Linked DNA regions of Notamacropus eugenii. The protein of the gene in region 1 purifies or fractionates together with the protein of each later gene. This does not show direct contact. Links are inferred from orthologs where the notes say so. Each region holds a gene or a part of one and is shown on either strand. Other genes may lie near its edges.

Evidence for each region.
Region 2: the proteins of PRDX1 (region 1) and TXN purify together in Homo sapiens (affinity purification with western blotting; 3 studies listed by BioGRID, with this or other methods). This does not show direct contact. The link is inferred for Notamacropus eugenii from reciprocal best matches to the Homo sapiens genes PRDX1 and TXN.

What each region holds. Positions count from the first base shown.
Region 1 is NC_092873.1:506,673,407-506,680,511, reverse strand, and holds the start of PRDX1 (peroxiredoxin-1), read left to right. Parts: upstream 1-4,093; 5' UTR 4,094-4,359; intron 4,360-5,974; 5' UTR 5,975-6,015; coding exon 6,016-6,121; intron 6,122-7,105. UniProt on the Homo sapiens protein: Thiol-specific peroxidase that catalyzes the reduction of hydrogen peroxide and organic hydroperoxides to water and alcohols, respectively.
Region 2 is NC_092872.1:98,090,219-98,097,238, forward strand, and holds the start of TXN (thioredoxin), read left to right. Parts: upstream 1-4,015; 5' UTR 4,016-4,287; coding exon 4,288-4,311; intron 4,312-7,020. Other genes in the region: uncharacterized protein, read right to left, coding at 1,296-1,929, 2,134-2,195. UniProt on the Homo sapiens protein: Participates in various redox reactions through the reversible oxidation of its active center dithiol to a disulfide and catalyzes dithiol-disulfide exchange reactions.

The DNA of each region.
Region 1 (7,105 bases):
AACTGCTTTCAGGTAGCATAGCCAGGCACTTCTGGGTGGAAGTTGGAAAAGATAATCCGTGGTGGGAAGATGTCTGGTTTCAAAGACATCCTTGCCTCTTTGGTCTTCACCCACTTAGGAGAATCAGAGCATTTCAGAGGCATTTCTATGCAGAATTCTCCCCTAAAACATGCCCCCTGCAGCCAGTCATCCATCATTCATTGATCCATCCATCAATCCATCATCGATCCACCAATCCATCCATCTATCCATCCATCCATCATCGATCCACCAATCCATTCATCCATCCATCCATCCATCATCGATCCACCCAAGTATGCCCTATTGTTTGGCTCACAATTTCCTTCTTCCTGCTTGCACTGGACTTCCTCCAGATTCCTCAGCTGAAATTTGACTCTTGGTTAATTCCCTGATTGTAAGCTTGAGCTCTCACCCCTGGACATCCCACTTCCCCCACCCATGACCCTACAATTCTACTTCCTCTCCCACCATGAAGCTGTTGAGTCATCTCCTTGGTTCTGAACTGTCAGGATGACTCTGAATCCTGATTATGTGAGCTAACAAAGCCTTCCCAGCTTTGAATGTTCTGAATACTTGGCAGGCATGCCTTCTGTCTTCATCTAAGTCACTGATGACCATCTTGTAGGAGACAAGGCTGAAGAAAAAGCCAGGTGGCTCACCACTAGAGACTGCCCCTCCTGGTTCATACAGCCCCATAAATCAACACCTTTTGGTCCTGTAGGAAAGCAGAAAAGTGGTAGCTGTTGTCCATTCCCAAAGAGGGCCTAAATGACATCATTACATTAGAGTTAAGTTATAGTGTGTCCTACTGTGGCCGATCAGATCAATATGAGCTCGGAATGCTCTACCACAGCTAGGGCACAAACAGTCCATGTGAACATATGGGGTGAATTCTCTACATCTGTGCATCTCAAATTTCTTTTGAGCTACTTCAATTCTACTTCGCTCATAGAGCACAGTGACTTCTCTGACGAGGGCATGCCATGCTGGGTGGTCCTGTGCCAGTGTCCCCTACATCACACAATCAATTCTAAAGTCCTTAAGAGAGACCTTGAAAGTGTCCTTCTATTGCTTCTTCTGACCACCATGTGAGCACTTACCCTCTGTCAATTAATTCTCTGTAAGATAGTCTTTTTGTCCACCTCTATAAAGGTAAAAGAAATAGATTGTCCTGTGACAATCACAGGGGGAACTCTGTCTTACCCATTGCCAGATTCTTTTCAGAGTCCTCCTTAATAGGCTGATGCTTCACCTGGAAGACAGTCATCTGCCTGAGACCCAGTGTGGCTTCAGAAAGGGCTGAGGAACAGTAGATATGATGTTTCCTGCTGGATAACTCCAGGAGAAATGCCAGGAGCAGAACAGAGGTCTGAACACAATGTTTGTAGATCTGACCAAGGCCTTTGATGTTGTAAGTCGTGAGGGCTTATGGAAAATTATGTTAAAATTTGGTTGCCCAGAGAAGTTCATCAGTATTGTACATCAATTTCACAATGGCATGCTGGCTTGGGCTCTGGATAATGGATGATGCTCTTGTGCTTTTCCAGTCACCAAGAAAGTGAAACAAGGCTATGTGCTTGCTCCCACACTTTTTAGCATGAATTTTTCAGTCATGTTAAACCCCTTCAATGAGGATGAACACAGAATCAGGGTGAGATACTGAACTGATGGAAAGCATCAGGGTAAACATCAACAGAGGCAGAAATGGGCATTTGTCAGATAGACAGAGAATATAGGAGGGGGTTTGGGCATCCACAGAAGCCATCTACCAGCAGCCCCTACTTCTAGACCTCTACATGTCACACAGTCTGTCTCCCACTTAAAGATCTCAGGGCACAGAGACTCACTCACTTGCTTAGAGGAGAAATTTCCAACACACCTAGAAATCCCCTCCCCTACCTTCTTTTAAAATCTCTGAAACACATTCCAGACTATTCCCTGGGACACCATGCTGGGTGGGCAAATCAGCTCCCTTTTTATTCCTTTCTCTCTGCTTTTTTTCTAGCCAGAAATGGTTCCCCAAGGGCCAGACCTCCAGAATGACAATGGTGGGAATTCTGGCTCTGGGACCTTCAGCCTTGACCTCTGTGGCTATTAAATGGCGCTGAGGCCCTAGCTACCTCCCAACAGGTTAAGGAGGAGGGAAGGTGAAAGGAGATCATAAATGTGAGGAAACTTTTGTAATCATAAAGGGCCCCCAGCAATGTCGGCAATGACTCCTAATGACGACCCTGAGCTCAGGTTGGAGGCCTTACCTGCTCTTTCTCCCTAGCTATCATTCTCTTTGGTGTCATGGAGACGCCACTGTGAAGGAGGGGGGAGAGGAGGAATGGCACCCTCAGGACAGCATCAGGCTGACTTGGGTTTAAGTCTTATTTCTCATAATCCAGCCTGTGGAAAACTCTGGCGTAAAGGAAGAAGGCTGGAGTAGTGGACTTCTGAGGCCTTCCAGCCACAAGCCTAGAGCCTTCTTCTCCAGCCAAGACCATTGAAATAGCTTTCTCACTGTTCTCCCTGCCTCTGGGAACCTCCCAGGTTCTTGATAATAACCTTGGATATTTCCCACCTTCAGTGTTTCCTCTCTGTCACCCAATCAATCAGCAAGTATTTAATGAGCTCCCTAACTATTTTCGCTCAGCACAGAGAATGAACAGCCCCGGGCGGAACAAAGGCCAAGTAGGGGAGGAAGGGCCACATCCAGGGATGTGGGGGTGGGGACTGAGCCAGGCTCCAGGTGGCACACATCCTATTCGAGCCTCCCACCACCAGGAAAGCCAGCTTCCTTCTCCTGCCACTCCCAGCCCCAGACTCATCGCCCAAGGCTTGCTTCAGCCCCTCCCCCCCTACATTTCCTCAAAGCCCAAGGCACCTAAAGACAAAGCCCACTGAGCCCTCCCCTGGTACTCATTCCCCCATTCATCCTGCTTATCATATAACACTCTACAGAAAGGAGCGCAACCCACACCTGAACAGGAAATCCTTCTACAATATCCTGCACAGGGAGTCACCCTGCCTCTGACTGGAGACCACCAGAGATGGGGAGCTCACTACCTTTCCCAAAGAGTCCCTTCCATTCCTGGCCAGCCCCTAAGGAGAGCAAGGATTTCCTAACACTGAGCCTGAACTGATTTGGCCTCTTTGACGATTCCCCCTCCCCCTCAACTGTTCGGACCAGCAAGGCTGATCTTTGTTCCATATAACAGCCCTTCCCAACATGGAGAACAGCTCTGGTGCTCCCCCTCCCCCCTGTCTCCTCTGAGATTCCCTTCTCCACCAGCAGCAGAATGGAAGGTCCCTGAGGGCAGGGCCCAGTTTCCTTTTTTGCTTTGTAACCAGGTGGCATGCCAGACCCATAGTGGGAGCTTAACCAACTTAGGACAAATTCATTCTCTCCAGTCTCTCCCCATGCCCCACACCCAGCAGGACTCTCACTGAGCTCCCTGATCCTGAAAGCTGGGCCTCTCTTAATGCTGCCCAACGTGCTGACTCAGGCTGGCCAAGCTGGTTCCCGCATGGAAGTCTAGTTTTGAGCCCAAATGTTACACTTGCTGTTTATCCTTAGTGAATTTCACCTTCCATTCAGCTCCACAGCTACGAGCTTGTATTTTCCAGTCCTAGCTCAGGGTGCGTCAGTCAGCCCTCCCAGCTGTGCATCAGCACCCTATGCGATGAGCTCTCATCCACCTGGGCCTCCACTCTGGTCAAGGGGAGAAACGTCGGGCTGCACAGAGCCTTGGGGCACTCCACGGGAGACCTCTGGCTTCTGCTTCTCTTTGTAGTTGTCGGGCAGAGCACGGGGCCCGGGATGCAGCGAGTGCGGGGGCTGTACGGCTGCTGCTATGCGGTTACATTGTTACTTATTAATTGTTACTAATTATCTTTTAAAAAGCTCAGCAGGGCATGTGTCTCATGGCCGCAGGGAGTTCCCAAGCTGCACCGACACCTCGCCAGGGGTTCAGGGGTGTTCCGAGGCAGCCGGGCCGCTGGGAGGGAGAGAGAGAGGCGATCTGTATCGGGGGAGGGATTTCCTGGTCTGAGAGGCCCAGACGTCAGGTGGTGGGGGAGAGGGCCCAGTGAGCGTGATCTGGGGTTGGGGAAGGAGGGGCGTCCTGCCCCCGAACCCCGGAAAAGTGCCGAGTCATGCTGAAGGCGTGGATGAGGAGAGGGAGGGAAGCAGGGAGGAGGCGGGGCTTCAGGCGGCCGGGCCCGCCCTCTGCCGCCCAGCCTCTCGCGAGATCAGGGGCTTATAAAGGCGGCGCTGGGCGCAGCATCCTCGCGCTCTCCAGCTCCTGCTCAGGGGTTCGGCCTTTCTTCGACCTTGTCTGCGGAGCCTAGCTGGTGAGGCCAGGGAGCGGGCACGTCCCCCACGCCACCCCCTCTCTGCCGCCGTGCTGCCCCTCCTCGGGCGGCTGGGGACGGGCGGGGAAGCTCGGGACGTCCTGGGAAAGGCGGACGACCCCCCCAAGGACGCTGATTGGCTGGTGGGGGCGTGTTGGGGAACCTTCGGGTGGGGGGCGGGACTTGAAGTTCTCGAAGCCACATCAGATTGGTGGAATAGAAGCCGGGCCCGGGCGTGGGACAAATGGGGAAACTGAGGCACGGGCTCACCTGCCCCGAAACAGCCTCTTACAGGGACCCCCACGGCCTTCTCTGTTTGGACCGTGGAGGAAACTGGGGCTCCGGGGGGGAAGCGAGGCGCCTGGGGAGGAGCGGGCGGCGGCGGCGACTCTACTTTCCCGCCCTCTCCTCGTGGTTCTCCCCGGTGTGACCGAGGAGGGGGCCCCCCCGGGGAGTGCAGCAGCCCATCGTCCCGGGGTCCCAGCATCGGGAGCCGGGGGCACCGGGGCCCTGGTGCCCCCGAGGGCCTCCATCCTCCTCTCTGGCCACGTGGGCAGCACTGTCGGCCTCCACGGTCCGATGATCGGGAGGGGGTGCGGTGGGCTGCACCCCTGCCTAGGCAGGGTCCTTTCCGGGAGGTGGCCGTGGGGGAAGGGCATTGGAGCAGGGTCCCTCGGGGCTTTTCTGTAAAGTGGGTTCGAAGGGGGTGAACCTCGTTCCGAGAGGGCGCCCCTTCCGCTCTCCGCCTTCAGGCAGCTCGCTGGTGGGTCGGGGATTGGAACGCCGACCCAGCCGTGACCACGGATAAGTCACTTAGCCTCCGTCTGCCTCAGTTTCCCCAACTGTAAGATGGGGATAACCCCCGGTTAGCGCGGATCTCCCCGGGTGTGGGTGTGAGGAGCAGATGAGGTCGGAGTTGTGAAGCGTTTAGCCGAGTGCTGGGCACATAGTGGGTGCCGCAGAAAGCCCCCGTCTCTTCCTCCCCCCTTGTGGATGCGCGCTGGGGTGAGCCCACCCCGAGAGGGCAGGGCAGGGCCGGGGGGGCTTCCGGTGCACCTGGGCTTGGAACCGGCAGCTTCTGCCTGGCTCTGCAGTGATCAGTCTCTCCGAATGGAAATCAGTTCCCCTTAACTCCTAATCTCTGCTTAGCACTGCCCAGAATTTCCAGCCTAGGCCGGAGCGCAAAACCACCCATCTTTCTTCCTTTTTTCCTGGGGACTGGCTGGTTTGGGAGAGGGCCGTAGGGTAGAGGCCCCTCCCCACGAGGAGTCCGGTCTAGCCGGCACAAAACCCTGTTGCCTAATCGGGCTGTGGAGAACTGCTCAGCCCTGGGAAGTTGGAGGGGACTGCCGGGGTTGCTTTCTAGTTTAGGATGGCAGCCAGGACTTTGCTTTCAGAAAATCCTTCATTTTAAGTGACTAGATCTCCTTGTTATATGTGACCAGGAGGGCAGAGGGCTCCAAGGGCAGTAAGATGGTCAGGTGTGGTTCTAGGCTAGTATGTCCCCTTGGTGCCCGGCGAGTCTCTCAGTGCTCCCTAAAAGTGAGCTGCCTCGGGTTGTCTTAGGAGTGGGAAACTTGGTACCTCTCCTGAAGTCACCTCTCTGGTTTTCCAGCCTCATTCCTCTTGGCCCCCAGTTACCGTCATACTGTCAACATGTCTGCGGGCAATGCCAAGATTGGGTTCCCAGCCCCCAATTTCAGAGCTACAGCTGTTATGCCAGATCGGCAGTTCAAAGACATCAGCCTTTCTGATTACAAAGGTGAGTTGAATTGCCCGAGCCTGATTAACATTTCTTGATTAACCAAGTCTCCATAACAAAGGCACCTTTGTGCACTTTCTGCTGAGCTGTTTTTATTTCCTGTCTAGGGCTGAGTGGTGATGTTGCCCCCCCCCACTGCTTATTCCAGGAGAGAATAATACTGTGGCCTATCTCCTTCCCTCCCCATCTGCGCCCAATTCTGATATCAAAGGGCCTTGGATCTCCTCAGATAAAATGGCTGATACCCAGAGGACCTTGGCCAGCCTCTCCTCTGGGGTCTCAGCTGGCTTAGGAAGGTGCTTTCCTTTTTGTGCCTTAACTGAAGGCTCTCTTCAGTGCCCCTCCCCTCAAGGGCTGATGTCTGGGGTGCAGTTGGGTCTCAGAATGGCAAAGGAAGAGGGCCTGGTCACTCAGGCCTGCTGGGTTTTCTGGGTCCCGAAAGTGTCCAGATTGCTTCGCAGCTGCAGCTGCTATTCTGAGCTAAGCCTTGCAGAAGCTGATGAACAGAGAGGCCCGGCGTGGTGGGTTCTGAGCCTTGTGGGCCACAGCTGGTTGGCAGAGGAAAGGGTAGCTGTCATGCCCTTACATACCCGTGTACACACACTACCCTGACCCCAGAGGGAGGATCCTATGAGAGTGCCAGTAGTCCAAGATGCTGCCCTCCCTTGGGCGCTGAGGAACAGGATGGCACTGACAGATTTGTTGGGATAAACAATGTTCCCATTGAGGTTGGCTTTCAGTGGGGACACCAGATGCTCTCCTCGATTCACTTGTGGCTTATAGAACAACCCTGAGCCTTGGCCTTGTTCTACCAGCATGACTCCCTTGGGGTAGAGCCAAGCTTGGTTCCCAGGGTCACTGGCTAGTTTGAAGGCAGCTTCTAAATAACCTCTAAACTCCTTGAGGAATATGAGCATGTGGGCTGCTTATGTCTTGGAGTGAAATCTGCCTCAGGGAACTGATTTTTTTTCTCTGTATCTCAGT
Region 2 (7,020 bases), on another chromosome or scaffold:
TGACTTCTTCATCTTCATCCAAGTAATTGGTAAAAATGCTGAACAAAACAGGGCCTAATACAGATCCCTGAAGCACTTCCCTTAGGACTTCCTTTAAGGCTGACACTGAATAATTAACAAGTACTCAACGATCCATCAATCCATCATTCAACCATTTCTCCGTCCACCTAACTACTTAGTCTTCTCAAGGATTCTATCAGAAACTTTACTTCTATGGTCTTCAGTTGTCTGAAAGATAACAATGAAGGTGTTGGGAAATACAATGTATTTGATCAAAATTAGCCTTTCTATTTTATTACTGCACATCTGGCTCTTTGATTTCTTGTTGTTCATCCTTCTAGAAAAGGAACAATGACATCAGAGGGGTGACATCTTAACTTCCTCACCAACTGAATTTAAGTGAGGCAGAGCTGTGCCAAGTCATTAGCATCACTCTCTCCAATCTAATGCTACCAGTCAGGACTACCGGTGATGGTCCCCTTTCACTTCTTAGTGGTTCATGGTTACTCTGGCAGTAGTGGTTAAACCTCTAGACTTGGAGTCAGGAAGACCTGGGCTTGCATCCTCATCCCAAATATTTATTTACTACCTGTGTGACTCTAACAAAGTTATTTAACCTTTCCAGGAGTCAGCAGTCTCATCTGTACAATGAGCATCATCACAGCATCTTCCTTGTTGTGAGGACCACACAGGGAAAATGCACTTAAAATCTTAAAACTCACGATAAATGAGTAACTCCTGTTACTAACAAATACTTATTGAGGGCTTACCCTGCTGAGTCTCAGAATCACAGAATCCTATAGCCCGAAGAAAACTTAGAGACCATCTAGTCCGACTTCATTTTACAAATGAAGAAAATGTGGCCCAAAGAGAAGGCATCATTTCATCAAGGAGACACAGCCACTGAAGAGCTGTTGGCAGAACTTGAACTCAAGTCCAGGCCTTTTAACTTTAAATCCACCACTTTTCCCTTTAAACAAGACTTCTATTCATTGCAAAGTACTCTGTAACAGTGGTATAAAAATCAAGTTGAAGTGGAGTCCATTAAATCATACGTAAGGATCCATGTGGGCCACATGTTGACTTCGTTTTAAAATGTCACATTATCTACGTTTTACGTTATATTTTGTTAAATATTTCCCAACTGCATTTTAGTCTGGTCCAGGCCCCAGCTGTGGGCCATATGTTTGACCTCTCTGCGGTGGAAAACCAACAGAAAACCTCTGGTCCTTATCCTGAATAACATAGGCACACACACAAACGTGAACCAGTATTTTGTAAGTCCTAGGGAAGAGCTACAAACAAAGCGATATGGGCACCGGGGTTGGGGAAAGGTCGCCTCTAGCTTGGAGAACAGAGAAAGGAAAAAGGCTCCCTAGGAGAGGATGCCTGACAAGGTCCAGGGGAGAGCAATTCCGGGGAATAAGTCTCGCGTGGAAGAAGCCAAGACAGCCCGGTGTTCTTGGGCTGAGGGAGTGCGGGGCAGGGGCAGTGGGAGCTGGAGCTGGGGCTGACTGGGCCGGGGGGGCTGGAGCTGGGGCTGACTGGGCCGGAGCTGGGGCTGACTGGGCCGGGGGGGCTGGAGCTGGGGCTGACTGGGCCGGAGCTGGGGCTGACTGGGCCGGGGGGGCTGGAGCTGGGGCTGACTGGGCCGGGGGGGCTAGAGGGCTGGAGCTGGGGCTGACTGGGCCGGGGGGGCTGGAGCTGGGGCTGACTGGGCCGGGGGGGCTGGAGCTGGGGCTGACTGGGCCACAGCTGGGGCTGACTGGGCTGGAGCTGGGGCTGACTGGGCCGGGGGGGCTGGAGCTGGGGCTGACTGGGCCGGGGCGGCTGGAGCTGGGGCTGACTGGGCCGGAGCTGGGGCTGACTGGGCCGGCGGGGCTGGAGCTGGGGCTGACTGGGCCGGGGGGGGGCTGGAGCTGGGGCTGACTGGGCCGGAGCTAGGGCTGACTGGGCCGGAGCTGGGGCTGACTGGGCCGGGGGGCCCTGAATGCCCTGCTGGGGCCAATAAGGGCTCACAGGAGCCCCAGGAGCAGAGCTGTGACACTGCTCTAACCTGTTCTAAAGCTCTCCTTTGCTCCAGACTACCTAGTCTTCTTACAAGGCTGCTGCATGACTCTTCCCTTCTCTTACTTGTGGATAAACACGACCTGTCCCAGCACCGCGGGCCCTGCCCGCACCCTGGTCTCCCGCATCGTTACCGGGGGCGGCCCGGGGCCATCGGCCTCCCCCCGAGCCCTGGGAGGATCTGGCCGCTGAACTGACCGTTTTACCGTCTAACCCGGTGGCTTTACCATTTTAGGTTGCCGGTGGTTTGAGGGGGGCAGCCAACCAGAGCCAGCCACACAAACCACCCCGGGAACAAACAATAGAACTGGCACCTCCGGAAAGTTCGGAGAAGAGGAGCTCGCGGGGATCTCGGTTCGGAGCATGGCCGCCTCGGAGTTCCCACCTAGGCCCCCGGGGCGGGCCCTCAGCCCTCCCTGATCTCGCGGCTCCCCAAACCAGCACCAGGGCCCATCTGCTGCGTCACCAGCAGCGACTTCAAGGAAAATGAGAAGGAGAAAAGGAGGGAAGGAAAAGGAGAAAAAGAAGGCAAGTTCCGGGAGGGCGCGGCCTGCGGTGGGCGGGGGCCCGCCGCGGAGACTTCCTCATCATCGTTACACAGCATTTTGTGCCCGCTTCCCGGGCCCTGGGGACTGGAGACCACGAGGACAAGAAGTCCGAGGGACTGCGTCCGCCCGGCCCACCCCCGCTGGGGCGGAGGCCGGCTTCAGGCCGGGCCAAGCAGCCCATCCCCGAGGCTCGGCTGCCTCCGCGCTCCCGGGCGTTTTCCCCAGGTGGCCCGGAGGCCCGCCTCCGTTTCCACGCCCTCGTAGGCAGCCCCGCCCGCGACCTAGAGCGCTAACCTGTCCTCCGACCGCCGCTCTCCGTCGCCTCCCCCGGAGCCCGGTCCCGGGGCTGCCCATGCCCATGTGCGCTCATTTGTGGTCGGGGGCTGGCCCAGAGCAGGGGGCTCTTCCGGCCCCAAGCCCTAGGACCTCGCTCACAGTCCGCCCTCCGCCTCGTCCCTTTCTCCCTCCCTCTGCCCTCCAGGGCTGGCCCAGGGGACACGTGGGCCGGCTGGAGCAGAGGGTGTTTTCCACGAAATGGCTTTTACTCATAGTGTAATTAAATTTCGGACGGCTCGATGGGTTCGTTTTGCAAACTCTAGTCAACTTTTCCTACTCCTCTCCAAGTGATCCTCGAGGGCAATGGGACGATTAGGAAATCAAATCCGAAAAGGGACGGCACCAGGCCGAGGGTGAAGCGCCAGGGCGGCCTGGGCCCGGGCCCGCGCCGTTGCCAGGGCGGGGGGCGGGGAAAGAGAAGCGATAGGGGCGGTGCTCTGCGGGGCCGGCGCTCTGCGGGGCCGGCCCCGGAGACGTGACGCGAGCGACGTGGCGCGAGCCCAGGGCGCCGAAGGAGGGAAGGGGGAGGGCGTTCCAGGAAGGGGAGCGCCCGGGCGAGCAAGGCCTCCTTCCTCCCTCCCCTCCAGCCCTCCTCTCCCTCCCCGGGCGGCCGTCGCCTGGGCTCTTCTCCGCCCACGGTATAAAGGGCCCTTGAGGCGGAGCCTCCGCTACTTTCTTGCATTTCCCGCAGAAAGAAGCATCGCCCAAGAAGCCTCCGTCTTCCAAGTCACCCGGACCTAGCAAGTTCAAGTCACCCGCACCCAAGTTTCTCGGACTCTTCAGAGCAGGCAACTCCAAAGCCAAGTCCCCGTCTCCCGCCCGGGCCTCCCTGACCAGCGCGTCGGCGCGGTCTCCGCCTCCGCCTCGGCCTCCGCCCCCGGCGCCGCCCAAGCATCTTCCTCCTCCCTCGCCTCCTGCGCAGCCCGCTCCCCCTAAGCCACCCTCGCCTCCGGAGCCTGTCGAGAAACCTGCTCCACCCGAGCCGCCCGCTCCACCCGAGCCGCCCGCGCCGCCCGAGCCGCCCGCGCCGCCCGAGCCGCCCGCTCCACCCGAGCCGCCCGAGCCGCCCGCGCCTCCGGAGCCTGCTCAGCCGCCGGCTCCGCCAGCGCCTCCCGAGAAGCCCGCTCCGCCCGAGCCGCCAGTGCCTCCCGAGCCACCCGAGCCTCCCGAGCCGCCCGAGAAGCCCACTCTCCCCGAGCCCTCTGCGCCTCCAGAGCCGCCAGCGCCTCCCGAGCCATCCCCTCCTCCCGAGCCGTCCGCACCACCAGAGCAGCCCGCTCTTCCCGAGCTCCCTGCGCCTCCCGAGCAGCCCGAGCCGCCCGAGCCGTCGGAGAAGATGGTGAAGCAGATCGAGAGCAAGGTAAGAAGTCGCGGTGCCCCCGAGCTGGGAAGGCGGGAGCGGAGGAGAGCCCCGATCCCCATCCCCAGCCCCGCCTAGGGCCATGTGTGCCCTAGTCCGGCGCCCTGGGGAGCTGCAGGCCCGGGGCTTAGCCCGGAGATTGGCACTTCGTGGGTGTTTGTTGCTTGGCTTTGGTCCTTGCCCTCCCCCTGGCCTCCAGTCCTCGGAGCCCGCCCGGGGGTGGTCATTTCCCTGCGGCCCGGGCTGCGGCCCTGCTGCCGTGACGGAACGTCTGGGCGGGCCTTGGCGCCCCCGAGGGCGGCGTTCCTGCCTTGGGGGCATTTTGGCCACCCCCTCCCCTCCCCCCGGGTTCCTGCCGCTTTGCGCTGCTGTGGTTGTCCCTGGCCCGGGGTCTGCGATGAAGAACTGCCCTGGTTCCCCTGATGGGGGTGACCCCAGGGCAGGAGCCAGCCGTGCCCGGGGCCGTCGGGACGTCCGGCTGGCTGCGCCCTGAGGCCGGTGCGCAGAAGGGGGAGGCCATGACTCGGCTGGCAGGGGCACCTGACGGCTGGGCGCTTCCTTGCCTTGCCCTGTAGGGTTTCAGGATATTCAGGGCAGCGATTCCCTTGCCCTCTGTTGGCAGTATTCGTTTCCTGACACCCATCACAGTGTGAGATTTGTTTCCTTTCTGTTAATTTAATTCAGTTCCATAGACGTGTTAATGAAAAAGATTTTTGGACGTTTTGGGAGAATATGCAGACAACTTTGAGATCATCAATGACGCTGGGTCAGATATCCCCAAAATGGAGCCTCTTGCTTCAATACAGGGGTAGTCACTGAGGAAAGGCAGGAGAGAAGACAGTTCGATTCAACAAGTATTCAAGGGTTTCTTATGAACCAAGTGGGAAACAACATAAAGCTTTTTGCTCCAAAAGCTTGCAGTTCAATAGGGGTAATAAAATATGATAAGAATGTGATACTAGCTTAGGAGTGAAATAGGACACCAGAGAAAATGCCGTGTAAGATTTGAATAGGAGAGATCACTTCCAGCTAGGGAAGGAAGGGGGGTCAGAGGAGGTTTGTGGAAGAGGTGGCTTCAGAGATGGGCCTTAGAGGAACCGAGAAGATTCAGACAAGCAGACAGACAGTGGAGGGAGTGCATTCCAGGCCTGGAGGGTGCAGGAGGAAATAGGAGCAGATAGAGAATAGTTAGTAAGAGTTTCTCTTAAATACAAGGATTGAAGGAGAATACAGTGATAAAAGGCTAGAAATATGGGATACAACAAAATTAGAGAGCTTTGTTTAAAAAAATGCCAAGTGTTTATCATATTCTCTGGACGGTGGAGAGACAAAAGTCAACTTTTGTATGAATACCTCCTTCACTTTTGGAAAAGGTAACCTAAACCTGCCGTTCTCATCCTGAATGACTGTCATCCCCCTTTAAGAGATCCTTCTGATATACTGGAGTCGTTCCTCTTTTACAATATTTTGTGCAGTACTCCGGAAATTTATATCTGTCTATTGCTAAAGTGCAACCTGCATTTTTGGCTCATATCTAATGTTGTATCCATAGATGTTTAACCACAACACTTTTAAGTGTATTCCGCATTATTTAAAAAAAATTACATTAACATGTAAAGACAATTTTTCACTGTAATGTGCATTATTAACATCTCCTTCAAACCAGTCCCTCCCTTGCAGCACTTAATTGATTAAGGTGAAAATACGCTGAAATTTTTTTTTAAAAATTAGCTCTCTTGAGCCTGTATGAGCTGGTTCTAGCACAGACAAACAGCCAACACATACCTGGTCATGATGTTCTGTTGTATGCCATTTGATGGCAGGACATCAGTTATAATGTTCTATGGCCTAATTGCACTTAACTCACATCTCTACTGCTCTTAGATCACCTGTAATTTTTATTCTGAGATTATGTTTTTCACTTAGTCATAGCCACATATACCAAGAGAATGATGTTTTTTTAACAAGCCAGTTATGACCTTTGAGAGACCTCTGCAATTGTTCAGGCACGATCCAGCCTGTTTTCTTCTTATGTAATTCTAGGTCCAGTTCATTGTCTTTAGCACTTGCCAAGTATAGACACACACACACACACACACACACACACACACACACACACACACTTTTTTTTCCTGTGCTAATGCTTAGTCAGATCTTATGCATAATAAGGGCTTTCACTAATGAGCCCTAGTAGTATTTTGGAAGGGACATTCATTAAGCACCTACTGTATACCCGTTGGGGCAGCTATATGATGCAGTAGATACAGTGCTAGACCTGGAGTCAGGAAATTCCTCAGATTTGGTCTCAGACACTTGCTAGCTATGTGACCCTTAGCAAATCATTTAATCTTGATTGCCTCAGTTACAGCATCTGTAAAATGAGCTGGAGAAGGAAATAGCAAACTACTCCAGTATTTTTTTTAAAAAGTAAATTATTTTCCCCTCAATTATATATAAAGACAATTTTTAATATTGATTTTTAAAAAACAACTGAGTTCCAAATTTTCTCCCTCACTTCCCTTCCCCCCCAAGAAAAGCAATTTGATATAGGTTATACATGGTCAATCATGCAAAACATATTACCAAATCAATCATGTTGTCATAGACCCAAAGGGAAAAAAAATGACCAAAAAAATACTGTATGTGAAAAATAGTACGCTTTGATCTGCATTCAGACCCCATCAGTTCTCTCTGGAGGTAGATAGCATT